3 linked regions of the Tamandua tetradactyla genome follow. The protein of the gene in region 1 purifies or fractionates together with the protein of each later gene. This does not show direct contact. Links are inferred from orthologs where the notes say so. Each region holds a gene or a part of one and is shown in the gene's direction. Other genes may lie near its edges. The genes, in order: WWP2, FAM168A and AMOTL1.

Region 1 (3,941 bases):
GTCCAAGAAATTGCAGCCATGATTCAATACCACCATAAAAAAAAGAAATAGATATCTGAAAAACAAACACAATAGTTATAAAGGCGATAAACCATATAAACTATGCTGCAGCAAGTAGAACCAAAAACTACAAAAATTTAGATTAGCATTAGAAATACCACCCCAAAAATAAGGAAGGCTACCAATAAGATGATGCTAGAAAGTTACCCTAGTGCATGGAACCTTTGCAGAATCTTATAAAATGCCCTAGGCATTCTTCAGGATTGGCTGGAATGGTTTTGGTTGGGGTTTGGCAAGTTATAGTAGGTAGCAATATCTAACCGAAGCTTGCGTAACAGTGTCCTCCAGAGTAGCCTCCCCAGTTTATTTGAGCTCTCCCAGCCACTGGTACCTTATTTGTTACACTTCTTTTCTCCCTTTTGTTTAGGATGGTATTGTTGATGTCACTGTGCCAGGGCTGGATTCATCTCTGGGAGTCATCTCCCACCCTGCGAGGAAGACTTGCACCCCCCAAGCAGGGTTTTTTAAGAAGCTTTTCTATTTTAGTTCAATATCACAAGAACATATGTTCCACAAAGGCAGGGATTTTTGTTTCTAGAGCCTAGAACAGTGCCTAGCACACAATAGGTGCAGGATCATCAGATTTACTGAGTAAAATACAAGTTGCACAATTAAATTTCAATTTCAGATAAACAATGAATACTTTTCTTTTCTTTTTTTTAGTATTTTATCCGGCAACCTTACTATGGAGGTCAATAAATATTTGTTGACTTCATCTATTGAATTAACTCCTCTCACCTGTAAAATGGGGTTAAATGATAGTACCCGCCCCCAAAGATTTGATGGGAGGAGAAAATGAAGCGCCTGGCCCTCAGTGACCCTCAATTTATGATTGCTCAGGGAGCATCTTGGAGGTGAAAAAAAATCCCTCCACTTTAAAAACACAAAAATAAAATGCGCTACCCAGGCCAAAGGCTCCTGGCCAGGCCCGGCTGCCCACACCTGCAAACCCGGCCAGCCTCTTCCGGGTCAGGTGACCGCCCGTGGTCACGTGACCCGGCTCGAGTGCGGTCGGTGGAAGGCGGAAGTGGGAGAGGAGTTGGGCGCCGCTTCTGTGGCCGCTGCAGGTAGCGAGCGCGGGCGCAGGGCTGCCCGGAAGGCGGCCGGGCTTGGCGGGTCGGGCCCCGGTCAGCGGCGGCAAGTGCTGGGCCTGGGGCGGCGCGGCCCGGGCTCCGGGGGGCGGCGGCTTCCTGTGGGAGGGGCCTGGCGTGGCGGTTCCGGCCTCCGAGGAGGGGTGTCCCGGCTCCCGCCGGTGCGGGGTGGGCGCGCCGGGGGCCGCGTGCGGGGGCTGCACGGGGGTGGTCTCTAAAGGCAGCCAGGGGTTCGGCAGGCAGTGAATCTTCCCGGATGCCAGGGGCTGGAGAGGTGTGACATTTGTGGAGGGATCGGGAGAGGAGGAAGGGGGGACTTGGGACTGAACTGGAAGGAGGTGCCTGTGAATGGGCATTTGGCTTGGAGGGAAAGAGGGAGAGATGGAAGCAGATGCTGCCTGAACCTCATCTGAGAGTCTCTTCCTTCCGTTCTCTTTTGCAAGGATTGTCACCAGAGACTTTGATTTCTGTCCCTTTAAGTTTTTAAAACTTCAGGAGGGATCACGGAATCTTGATCATCTTGCTTTCGTCACACCCCCTTAGTCCTGCTTGGATCGGGTTTCTTCTTCTCGGGAACCTAGCCCTTCAGATCACCTTTCTTTGAGATTTTCCCAGATCAGGTCATCTTTAAGACTTAAAAAAAAATGTGGGTACTTATCTCTCGTTGTAAAATGACAGTCGAAACTGTTGACCGCGACTTAGTCCAGCATTTACCCCCGCAACTGCTGAAATCTTGGACAGAGCAGTGTCTACCTACACATTTTGTGACTTTGCTTCTTTCTTTGGTTTAAATTATTCAGCTTCCCTTACCATGTGACTACTTTTCTTGACAAACTGTAACTAGTTGGGGTGGCTGAGAGGTCTGTGTTGTGTTCCTTAGAACCGTGACCTATGAATCATGGTTTTGAGATTAGATACCTGTATTAAAGCTTCTCGAGCTCCTCTTTCTATTCATGTTTACTAAAATTTGCAAAAGTGAAATAAGTTTCAAGAATACAGCATAACTGGAGTAAATGTTTAAACTGGACATTCACAGGACCCAGAGTTGTCGTAGATTACAAGTAGGACAAAAAAAGTAACTTTGCTAATGTATTATGAGTTCAGGTTGTAGAGTATTTGACAAACATTGAAAAATTAATTTTCGTAGTCACCTTGTGAGTTAGGTTGGGAAGATATTAGTCCCATTTCACATTTCACAAGATCTGAGAGGGACAAATCGATTTTTAACAATTTTTGTTTTCTTGTTACTGGTCCCTTTTCCCCCACTAGACTGCAAATCCCTCAAGGACAGGGTTTATATATTTGGCTTCCAGCCTAGTGCCTGGCACATTGTGGGCACTTGGTAAATAGGTGATGAATGAATGAGTTTCTAAAGGTCACCTTGCTGAAAGTGGCAGACAGAGGATTTTAACTTAAGTCTTCTATCTTAGCTCTTGCGAGACATGCTTGTCTTTTTATGTGTTGTTGGTCCATTTGGAAATAAAACCCTAAACATGGGTGAAAGGCTAGGGTTGGCTTCTCAGTCTCTTCCACTTAATGACTCCTTCCCTATCTACAAAGAACTTTGTGCAAATATCCCATTTAATTTCTACCATAAGCCTGTGAAGTTTGATGCTGAGCTAGTAAATGACACAGTAGGGAGGCAAGTGCAGGCTTTTTATCCCTAGACCTGTTCTTTTTCATTTATGGAGATGATTTTAAGTTTTATTTTTAAATATTAAAAAAATGGCATTCTAAGAAAAAATATTAATAGTATAATCACAGTAAAAATCAGTACTGTAGACTATATAGAAAATCCTTTGTCATAACTACCTCTTCTTCCTGGGAAAACATTCTGTTATTCAATGGATATAGGTCCTTGCATTATTGTAGAGTTGCACTGTCTAGTACAGTGGCCACCAGCTATTGAACCCTTGAGATAAATGCACATTCTATTTCGAAGATTTAGTATGAAAAACCAAGAATATATCATTGATATTTTTATATTAGTGATACAAATATATACTATTAATTACCATTAATCATTTATGGAAATCATTTATATAAAATTTATGGAAATGATTTATATAAAAATATTTTATATTTATGATACAAATATATACTATTAATGGTAATATTTTGAATCTACTGGGTAAATAAATTTATTAAAATTGTTTATTATAATTTTTTAAAATAAATTACTCAACTGTTTATTTTTAAAAATGTTGCTCCTAGAAAATAAGAAGTTAACATATGTGGCCCCCAGATAGCACTGTTCTAAGTTGCGGGGAAATACAGTGGTACATAAGAAAGGCAACCATCCCTGCCCTTGCAGATCTGAAATGTTAATGGGGAAAGGAAAATGGATAAGATGCATATTATATTGTGATAAAGCAGACAAGAGGGATGCGAAGTGTTCAGTGGGGTTGCAGTTTTAAATAGGGTGCTTAGAAAAGCCTGCCTGAGAAGGTGACAGTTGAGTAGAAGATCTAAAGGTAAGAGAGGGAACCACATGGCTGAATGGGGGCATAATGGTCCAGGCAGAGAGAGGTCCAGGTGGGAAGTTGGAAAACCCTAAAGAAGGAACACCCCTAGCATGCCTGTAGACCAGTGTGGCTAGAGGGAGTGTGCGAAGGGTAGAGTGGTAGGAGCTGAGGTCAGATTGCTGTTGGGGGAAAGAGGAGAGATGGGCAGGTGGTGTAGGGTCTTGTAGACCATCAGAAGGATGTTTTTCACTCAGAGTGAGTTGGGGTTGTTGGAGGGTTTTCAGCTGTGGAATGACCAATCCAGCCTATCTTTTAACCTACTCAC
Region 2 (3,941 bases), on another chromosome or scaffold:
TGAAATTGTATTTTTTCAAACTAGTCTTACAGCCTAAAAAATAAATATATATGAGCTCCTTTTAAAAAATTCAGACAACATGAAAATAAAAATTACTTGAAATCTGACATCTTTCCCTCTAAGACAATCACCAATAATATTTAGGGGAACCTCTTTCCTGAACTCTCTATGCTTATAGAAGAAGCAACTTCAAACTTCGCATAAATCGGACCCTTCTAAATATGCTATTTTGCAATCAACGTTTCCTCAACAGTGAATTGTGAATAAGCTCTCCATGTCAATAAATAGATCTATACCATCACTTTTAATGACTTAGCACTTTATTGTATGTATATATAATTTAACCAACCTTCTATTGATGGACATATACATTATCCCCACACCCCTACAACCTCATGTTCGATCATCCTTTTAAGGTTAAGTTTTTTTTGGGGGGGGGGGGGCGGTGCACGGTCCGGGAATCGAACTCGGGTCTCCAGCATGGAAGACCGGAATTCTCATCACCGAACTACCCGTGCACCCTAAGGTAAGTTTTTAAAAGTAATGGAGCTGAGTCAAGAAATACACCCTTTCTGCATTTAAATTCAAATTGCGAAATCGTCCTAAGATTTGCTGGGAGACCACTGACGAAGCTGCTGCATTAGTCCTGGTGTTAGACATGTGAACCGGAATGACAAGTAGAATACAGACTCACAAGTCATCTCGCCCATCTGGGCTTGTCCTTGCTGGGTTGGCATATTTCTTCCAGTTTTCCTCTTTTTCTTAACATGGGGGAAGAAATGAGAACTGCCTCTCCCGGCATTTCGCAGGGGCCACACTTATTCCAAACTGCAATATTGGGTCTGAGAAAGATCCGGAAGGCGGGCCGGAGGCTGCGTGGAATGCTGGGAAATGTAGTTCATGGGTGGCTGTATTCGTGTGTGTTTGTGCGTGGGTGTGCGCGTCTATATGCGTGCGCTAGTGGGTGTCGGGGGGAGGGGCGCGTGGACACACCGCGAGATTCTTTACTTGGAGATGAAGCTGCCGGACAGCCTGACTTCCCTGACGTATGGTCACTGTGTTTACAAAACCCGCCGGCGGATGGCTGACGTTATTCTATTGTCCGTGACCAAGGAGGGCGCAGTGCTTCTGCACTGAGCGCGACGCTAGGGCTGTAGGCCGCTCGCAGGTTGAGCGGGGAATGCTGGGAGTTGTGGTCCTAGCGCGCTGAGACCGTGGGACGTGTCGCGGCGCCGCGCTTGCTCCTCCTTCCCCGCCCATCTCAGCGGTCTCCCGCCCCCTCCCTCCGCCTCCACCTCCCTCGCCCCGCTGCCGAGCGTCCCCTCCCCCCACCCGTCGGGCTCCTCGGCCGCTACTGCAGAGGTTTCAGAGCCGAGTCGCTGAGGAGGAGGCTCCAGGACCCTGCGCGCCATCCGCCACCCTACAGGACACGGGCGAGGAAGCGAGAGCGTCGCCACTACAGCCGCCAGAAAAGACAAGGACATCGCCGTCTCAGCCGCCGCCACCCCCGTTTTCGCCTGCAGCCTCTCGCTGGTGAGGAAACCCCCCTCCCCCCTTCCAGGGTCCACTCGTCCTCAGCCCCGGCCGGTGGTACTGGGGGAAATGAGGGTGGGGGCTGCAGAGCCCCCGGGCGGGTTGGGGGGAGGGGGCTGAGGTCGCGTTGGAACGGCGGGCTGACGAGGGAGATTTGTCCAGGCGCGGACTGGGGGTGGGGTGGGGGTGGGACCCAGCAGGGTGCGGTGGGGGAAGATGAGGGAAAGGGACTTTTAATGGGGAATGACCCTAGTTGGGACGGGAGCGTAGGTGGGAGTCGCATGGGGTTGGAATTTGGGAAGGCCTTGGGGAGAAGTGGGAGATGAGACTGAAGTGGGGTGGCCTTTAATGGGGGAGGGGGCTGAATGAAGGTGGTGGTTTTGAGGTTGGCCTGAAACAGTTGACAGCTTGGGGTCCTAGCTGGGTGGGGGTTAGGGACTTGAATTCAACAGACTGTGGGATGTACAGGGCTTGGACTGGACCCTGGAGCGTGTTAATTCAGGAGGAGGGAATGTGGGGTGGACCGGGGTAGGCTGATGGAGGTGGTAGGAGCTGGGGCTGAGGGTCTGGCAAGGTTTGAGATCTGAGACCGGAGTGGGCATTTGCCACCTGGGGGTGGTGGAATTTGTGGTGACTTATGGAATAGCAGGGCTTGGGATAGAGCAGAGGAGGTGGAATTCAGTTTTTCCTGGGGTGGGCTGATGGAGGTTGGAATAATTGCAGATAGGGGTAAGGCTTTTAGTAAGAGGAGTGTAATGGTGAGCTGGCGGGAGGAAGGGAAATTGAAAGTTAGGTCCAAAATGGACTGACAGGTTTTGAGATTGAAGGGAGGCATAGTGGGTTGGGATTTAGGGTGATCTTTGAACCACTGTAAGAGGCATGATGGCTCCCTGGGGGCAGGTTCCAGGCAGAGGGCACTGAAGAAGGGCCTGGGCTGGACTCACTGAAAGAATAGTGGCAGGTGGTGAGCATGGTTGTGGAATGGTATGTTGAAGAAAATGTCCTTTAGCCAAGGTGGAAGAGGGAGTTTTGGAGAAGTGTTTGAGATAACCTGGTTGGACTAGAGCAGTGGTTGATGATGGTGAGGCGGCAGAGGGGGAATTTAAAGAGTGGAAGACCTGGAGTTGTGGGAATAGATGGGTCACAGAAGATGGAAAGGGGTAGTGAGCAGTGCTGGGAAGAGGTGGGTTGGGCCTCCAAGAGACACAAGAGGGTTAGGGGTTGGAACACTTAAATGGACATCTTTGGTGGCTGTGGTTGGTTAAGAGGTTTCTTATAGGAGGCTTTGTAGGGAACAGAGAAGGTGGTACATTAAAGATACATTCCTAGAGAACCTCTTAAGAGGCCTTTGATCTTATTGTTTGTTTCATTTTTATTAGAATCATATTTGGAAGCGAAGTCAACCCAGAGGATGAAGTTGAGAGGGGTTTCTGTTAGGGTAGAATTAAGGAAGGGGGTGTGTGTTTTCTTTCTGTTAGTTCATATATCACAAAAAGAAAGTTGGAGGAAAAAAAACCCACCCCCCAAATAAAGGTGGGTGAAGATGGAAATGGAGTGTGATAAATATCTTTCTGTATGATGTCTCTGCTTTCTCTTTTCCCCTCCTCTGGTGCTCTTAAGAACTAGTTCTGGAATTTTAAATTTAAATAGATTTGATGAGATTGAGGTTGTTAAGGGAGCGTCCCTTGCTTGAGAAGTGATGAATGGGACTGAAAAATATGAGACTGGATTTATTTTCTAATCAGCAGCGTGCATTTATATGGAAAGAAAGCGCTTAGGGCCTCCACCCCCCCCCCCTTTAAAATTGATTGCTTGAAGACTCCATTTATTGGTATCTTGGTTTGCAAGGCAATTAGGCCCATCATTGTATTGCAGGGTAATAATCCTGAGATGAGCCTTGGCACCACTGCTTTATGTAAACAGAGAGAAGACAGAAAATATGGAAATGTCATAAATATTCATTGGTAAGACGGTTTGGTAGTGATGGTTTTTTTTTTCATTTGATTCTCTTTTGACATTACTTGATAAGATTTAAAATTATTGGACTATATTTCTATAGTTTGATTTTTCTCCTGCAGGACATTCAGGTGATCAGAATTTTGTCAGATGTAGCCAAATAAGCATATAGAGTCATTTTTATTTTATATTTCAAGGGATGGTGTTGATGTAGGCACATTGCATTAACCTCAGAAATAATATCTCCATTTCTTTATCAGAAATTTGATGTAAAGCTTAGTGATGTTCACTCCCATGCTGGATGGTGATGATGGAAGATAGAGAGGGGTTGAAGGAGGAAGCATCTTTAGAGAAATAGTTTTCTGACTGTAATTATATTAACTGTGATATGTTAAAAACATGAAGTGGCTATTGATTAGAGCTCAGACTAAGAAAAAATGGGGAAGGATAAA
Region 3 (3,941 bases), on another chromosome or scaffold:
TGTTTACCAAGCCCTTACCTGAGCCAGGCAGGAAGTTGGTCAAATATCTTTGGGCACCTACTATATGCCAGGCATTGTGTTCCAGTTTTCCTTGTTTCCTGTCCTCTCAACAACCAGGAAAAACCAAGTAGGTTAGCTTCCTACCGTTCTTTGCTTCTTTTTCTTCGCTTATTATCCAATTAATGTAACAGTATTAAATGATAAAGATGCTGGCCTATTACTTTTCTGGAGCTAACTGCACAGATGAAGAATCACAACCCTTGACCCTGTGGTCTGCTGTCAAGCCTGAGGGTTCAGCTCCATCCCCATTCCCCAATTCTAACAGAGATGTACTGTGGTGGTAGAAGTTGTTTCATGGATGAGGAGATCAAAGCCCCTGAGGTTAATGTGCTCATAGGTTTCTAGTAAGGATATGCCTCCCATTTGCTTGTTGTTCATTCATCTACTCAACAAGCATTACTGAGCATCTATTATATGCCAAACTCTGGGAATAAAAGAGTGAGCCAGAAAACATGGAGGTCACCAGACTATACCATCTGCTGTGCCCCATCTCTAAATGGGTAACATACATCAACTAACACAGAACATCTTTAATTCTCCAGGGTCTATCTTCCAACCAAGGCTACTGCACTTCTCCAAAGGGAAGAATGAATAATCTGAAAGAGGGGCTGTGGCTGCTATCCAGCCAAAAACCAACAAAAGTTCACTCCTTGCCCTGTCATGCTGCCAGACTAGACAGTATCTCCACATATTTTAGAGGCTAGGTCAGTACCACTTCACAGCCCATGGAATAAAATTGAACCTCCTTTGCTTAACACACACACTTCCTGATCTGACCTCCGCTTCCCTCTCCAGACTCATCTCCCTGCTCGTCACTGGGACAAACCTCTTCCCTCCTGCTATACTGATCTGCCCCTGGATCCTCAGGCATACTGGGTATTCCCACCCTTGGCAAAGGCTGTTCCTGCTATATGTTTTTTACTTGATTTGTTCTTACTTTTCTTGAAGCTGCTGCTAAATTCACCTGTTCTGGGACTTTTCCTGTCCATGCTGCCTGCCCACCCCACCCTGGTCTGAATAAGAGTCCTCTTCAGTCCTGCCACAGGTCGTGTAGATTCCTTTGCCATGGCACTCACAACATTGTCTTTGACTGTCTACATCCTAAACAGCCTGGGAACATCTTGAGGCAGAGGTCTGGTGTTTTTCATTTCTGCATCCTATGACTTTAGCTTGGCAAATACTTGGTGTGTACTTGATGGCTGGCAGGCTGATGGATGGATGGATGGATGGATGGATGGTGGGACCACATCCTTTGTTTACCTATGCCTTCATTGGGGAACTTTTATTGGCTGCGGCAGCCTAGCTGGTTATACAACTATTTCTGGCACCACTTTATTTCTTCAGCTTACTTTCAGCACACCTATAGCATTTCACTTAGTGACTCCAGACTTGTTTGCCAAAGCTTGAAGGCAGAGGAGAGAAAGGAAGTAGGTGTGGTTTCTCCACTGGTACTTTTGTAACCAAGGCAATAGAATCATCTGTCATAGAATTTTAGAACTGAAAGAAGCCTTAGGGATGATGTAACAAGAGTGGCTACAAACTACTAATTGTGACCAGCTCTCAGAATTACCACAATCCCTCTGTGAGTTTACCATGTCACAGAACTGCAATCTTTAGGGATATGGCTGGCCAGAAGGGGAACCAGCCTTGTGACTTGATGTGCCTGACGGGGAGGCACAGCTCTCAGGTAATCATGAAGTGCTGGAGTTATCAGAGGAGCTTAGTTCTGATAGGCAATGGAAACCATTCCAGACAATCGGTCTGCAGTGATGGAGGTATCCATGGCAAAGCATGGCAATCTTGTAATATGTAGGGGGAGTGCAGTGATTTCTTATCAATTTGAAAATCCTTCTGAGCAGTTGATACTATGGTGGATTTTCAGAATTCTAGCCTAGGCTAGAGTTCGGCAAAAGAGTTCTTGGTTCTAAGAGAACTAAATGAAGTAACCAAAATGAGAAATCAGAGCAGATAATCTGGTGAAGTCTTGAAGCGGGATGGGGAAACTTCTGCTCAGAAACCAAGTGGAAGCCCATATGTCACAGCTAAGTCAGAATTGGATGAATTACAAAGACATATATTAAATAATCTATTAGGTGTATACTATTGCTTGACATTAAGCTAAGCCTTTTATTTGTATGTATGTATGTGTATGTGTATACCAAGTAGGTCAGATCCCCTACCATTCTTTTCTTCTTTTTCTTTGTCTATTATCTTATTAATGTAACAGTATTAAATCCCAGTTAAGTCTCACAACAACTTTATTCTCATTTTATGAATGAATGAAGAGAATAAGCCTGAAGAGGCTGAGAAACTAGTACAAGGTCATTCAGCTGATAAGTGGCAGAGTTGGGATTTGACTTTAGATAGGTCTAACCCCAAACTACCCTTGGCTATTGCCTCTCGATTTACTTTCTTAACATTCCTTACTCTGCCTTTGCAGTTTCAGACTACAGCGCTTTACTTACAAACTATTTTTGCTGGTTATTTCATTGTCACAATAGAAGAGACTTGGCTTTGAGCAGGGCCAGGAAGCAAACAGTGATGTTGCAATGAGTGGACTCTCATCCAAGCCAGCCACAGGTCCCTCCTACAGCCATCCCAACTCAGGCATTGCAAAAGCCTCGACCCACCTGCTTCTGAGCATCTTTCCCCCCACCTACCCTTGCCTCTGCCCCATCTCTCCCCACTGCTGGCTAGTACCAGCTGCTGATCTCAGAGACCTACTGTGGGCTAGCGAGGTTTATACTTCTGTGGAGTACCAGGGAAAGTCCTGGAAACATCCAGGCCTCAGGGCTTTTGCTCTTGGCTTCATACAGTCTTCAGAGAGTTGCATTATTTGCCAGAAAGACTCAGTCATCCTGGTGAATCATAGGCCTTGAGGCAGGTCCACGCAGCATCTGCTTTTGTGTTATCTTCAGAGCATCTCTGGGCTGCCATTAGGGTGGGACAGCCTCCAGGAAGCTGGCTCGGGAGATCCCAGGATGTCTGGAGGTGACAATGAATTTCTGAAGAAAAGTCCCACTGCCACACCTGCTTCCAACACTCCTAAAAATACAAAACACCAAGTTACTCTCAAGGACATGGGCCAATGGTTTTTCAAACTTGTTTTAAAGGTCTGAAATGCATTTCCAAATGCAGAGTCATATGCAGTCCCTAACACATGAAACAGAAGGGACACTGTTTGGCCAGGATCATTGCTGACTGTTGCATTACAAGCCAATCTGGCTGCTCCTTTGATTTGCCAGCTGCCATATCATGTGTGTGGGGATTTGGTGCAGGCAGGGAGGTGTCCTCAACTCTTCTCTCTGAGTCCATAAAACATTTCTTTTTCCTGTAATAGATGTGCTCAGTCAGCTGTCTCGGAAACCTGCTGTCATCTGCACTTCCCAGGGGGCTCAACCTGCTTAGATTCCTCATTAGGAGAGAGGCAGGAAGTTTGTGAAACATAACCTCGCAGGGTGGGCCAGGTGCATTGTAGAAATCCAGTGGTACTGTTTCCATTATGGTTATGAAAACAGGAAGCAGCAGATTTCCCTTCTGGTGTCTCTCAAGGTCAGGGAGAGTTTTCACATCAGTCAAGAAGGAAGGACGCTAACATTTTCGGAGAGCGGTATGTGTGCCAAGCACTGTCATGAACGTTACTTCATTTTTTTAAAATCATCATTGAAATCCTGTGACATAGTTGCTATTATCTCCATTTTACAGATGAGGAAACTGAATCTGAGAAGCAAGCTAACTAAGACAGGCTCGTGCAGCTAATGGCAGCAGAGCTGACCTTCAAACTCAGATCTTCCAACTCTAGAGTTGTGCCCTTTCCATTTTACTTCTCAGTTTCTGCTTTTCTTCAAACGGCCACATTCTGTATCTCTACCTTCTGTGAA

Evidence for each region.
Region 2: the proteins of WWP2 (region 1) and FAM168A purify together in Homo sapiens (affinity purification with mass spectrometry; 3 studies listed by BioGRID and IntAct, counting the BioPlex papers as one, with this or other methods). This does not show direct contact. The link is inferred for Tamandua tetradactyla from reciprocal best matches to the Homo sapiens genes WWP2 and FAM168A.
Region 3: the proteins of WWP2 (region 1) and AMOTL1 purify together in Homo sapiens (affinity purification with mass spectrometry; 3 studies listed by BioGRID and IntAct, counting the BioPlex papers as one, with this or other methods). This does not show direct contact. The link is inferred for Tamandua tetradactyla from reciprocal best matches to the Homo sapiens genes WWP2 and AMOTL1.

Annotation. Positions count from the first base shown.
Region 1 is NC_135342.1:63,874,830-63,878,770, forward strand, and holds the start of WWP2 (NEDD4-like E3 ubiquitin-protein ligase WWP2), read left to right. Parts: upstream 1-1,016; 5' UTR 1,017-1,127; intron 1,128-3,941. UniProt on the Homo sapiens protein: E3 ubiquitin-protein ligase which accepts ubiquitin from an E2 ubiquitin-conjugating enzyme in the form of a thioester and then directly transfers the ubiquitin to targeted substrates.
Region 2 is NC_135334.1:72,426,922-72,430,862, forward strand, and holds the start of FAM168A (protein FAM168A), read left to right. Parts: upstream 1-1,269; 5' UTR 1,270-1,533; intron 1,534-3,408; exon of another isoform or gene 3,409-3,497; intron 3,498-3,941.
Region 3 is NC_135334.1:48,227,513-48,231,453, reverse strand, and holds the start of AMOTL1 (angiomotin-like protein 1), read left to right. Parts: upstream 1-1,602; 5' UTR 1,603-1,747; intron 1,748-3,941. UniProt on the Homo sapiens protein: Inhibits the Wnt/beta-catenin signaling pathway, probably by recruiting CTNNB1 to recycling endosomes and hence preventing its translocation to the nucleus.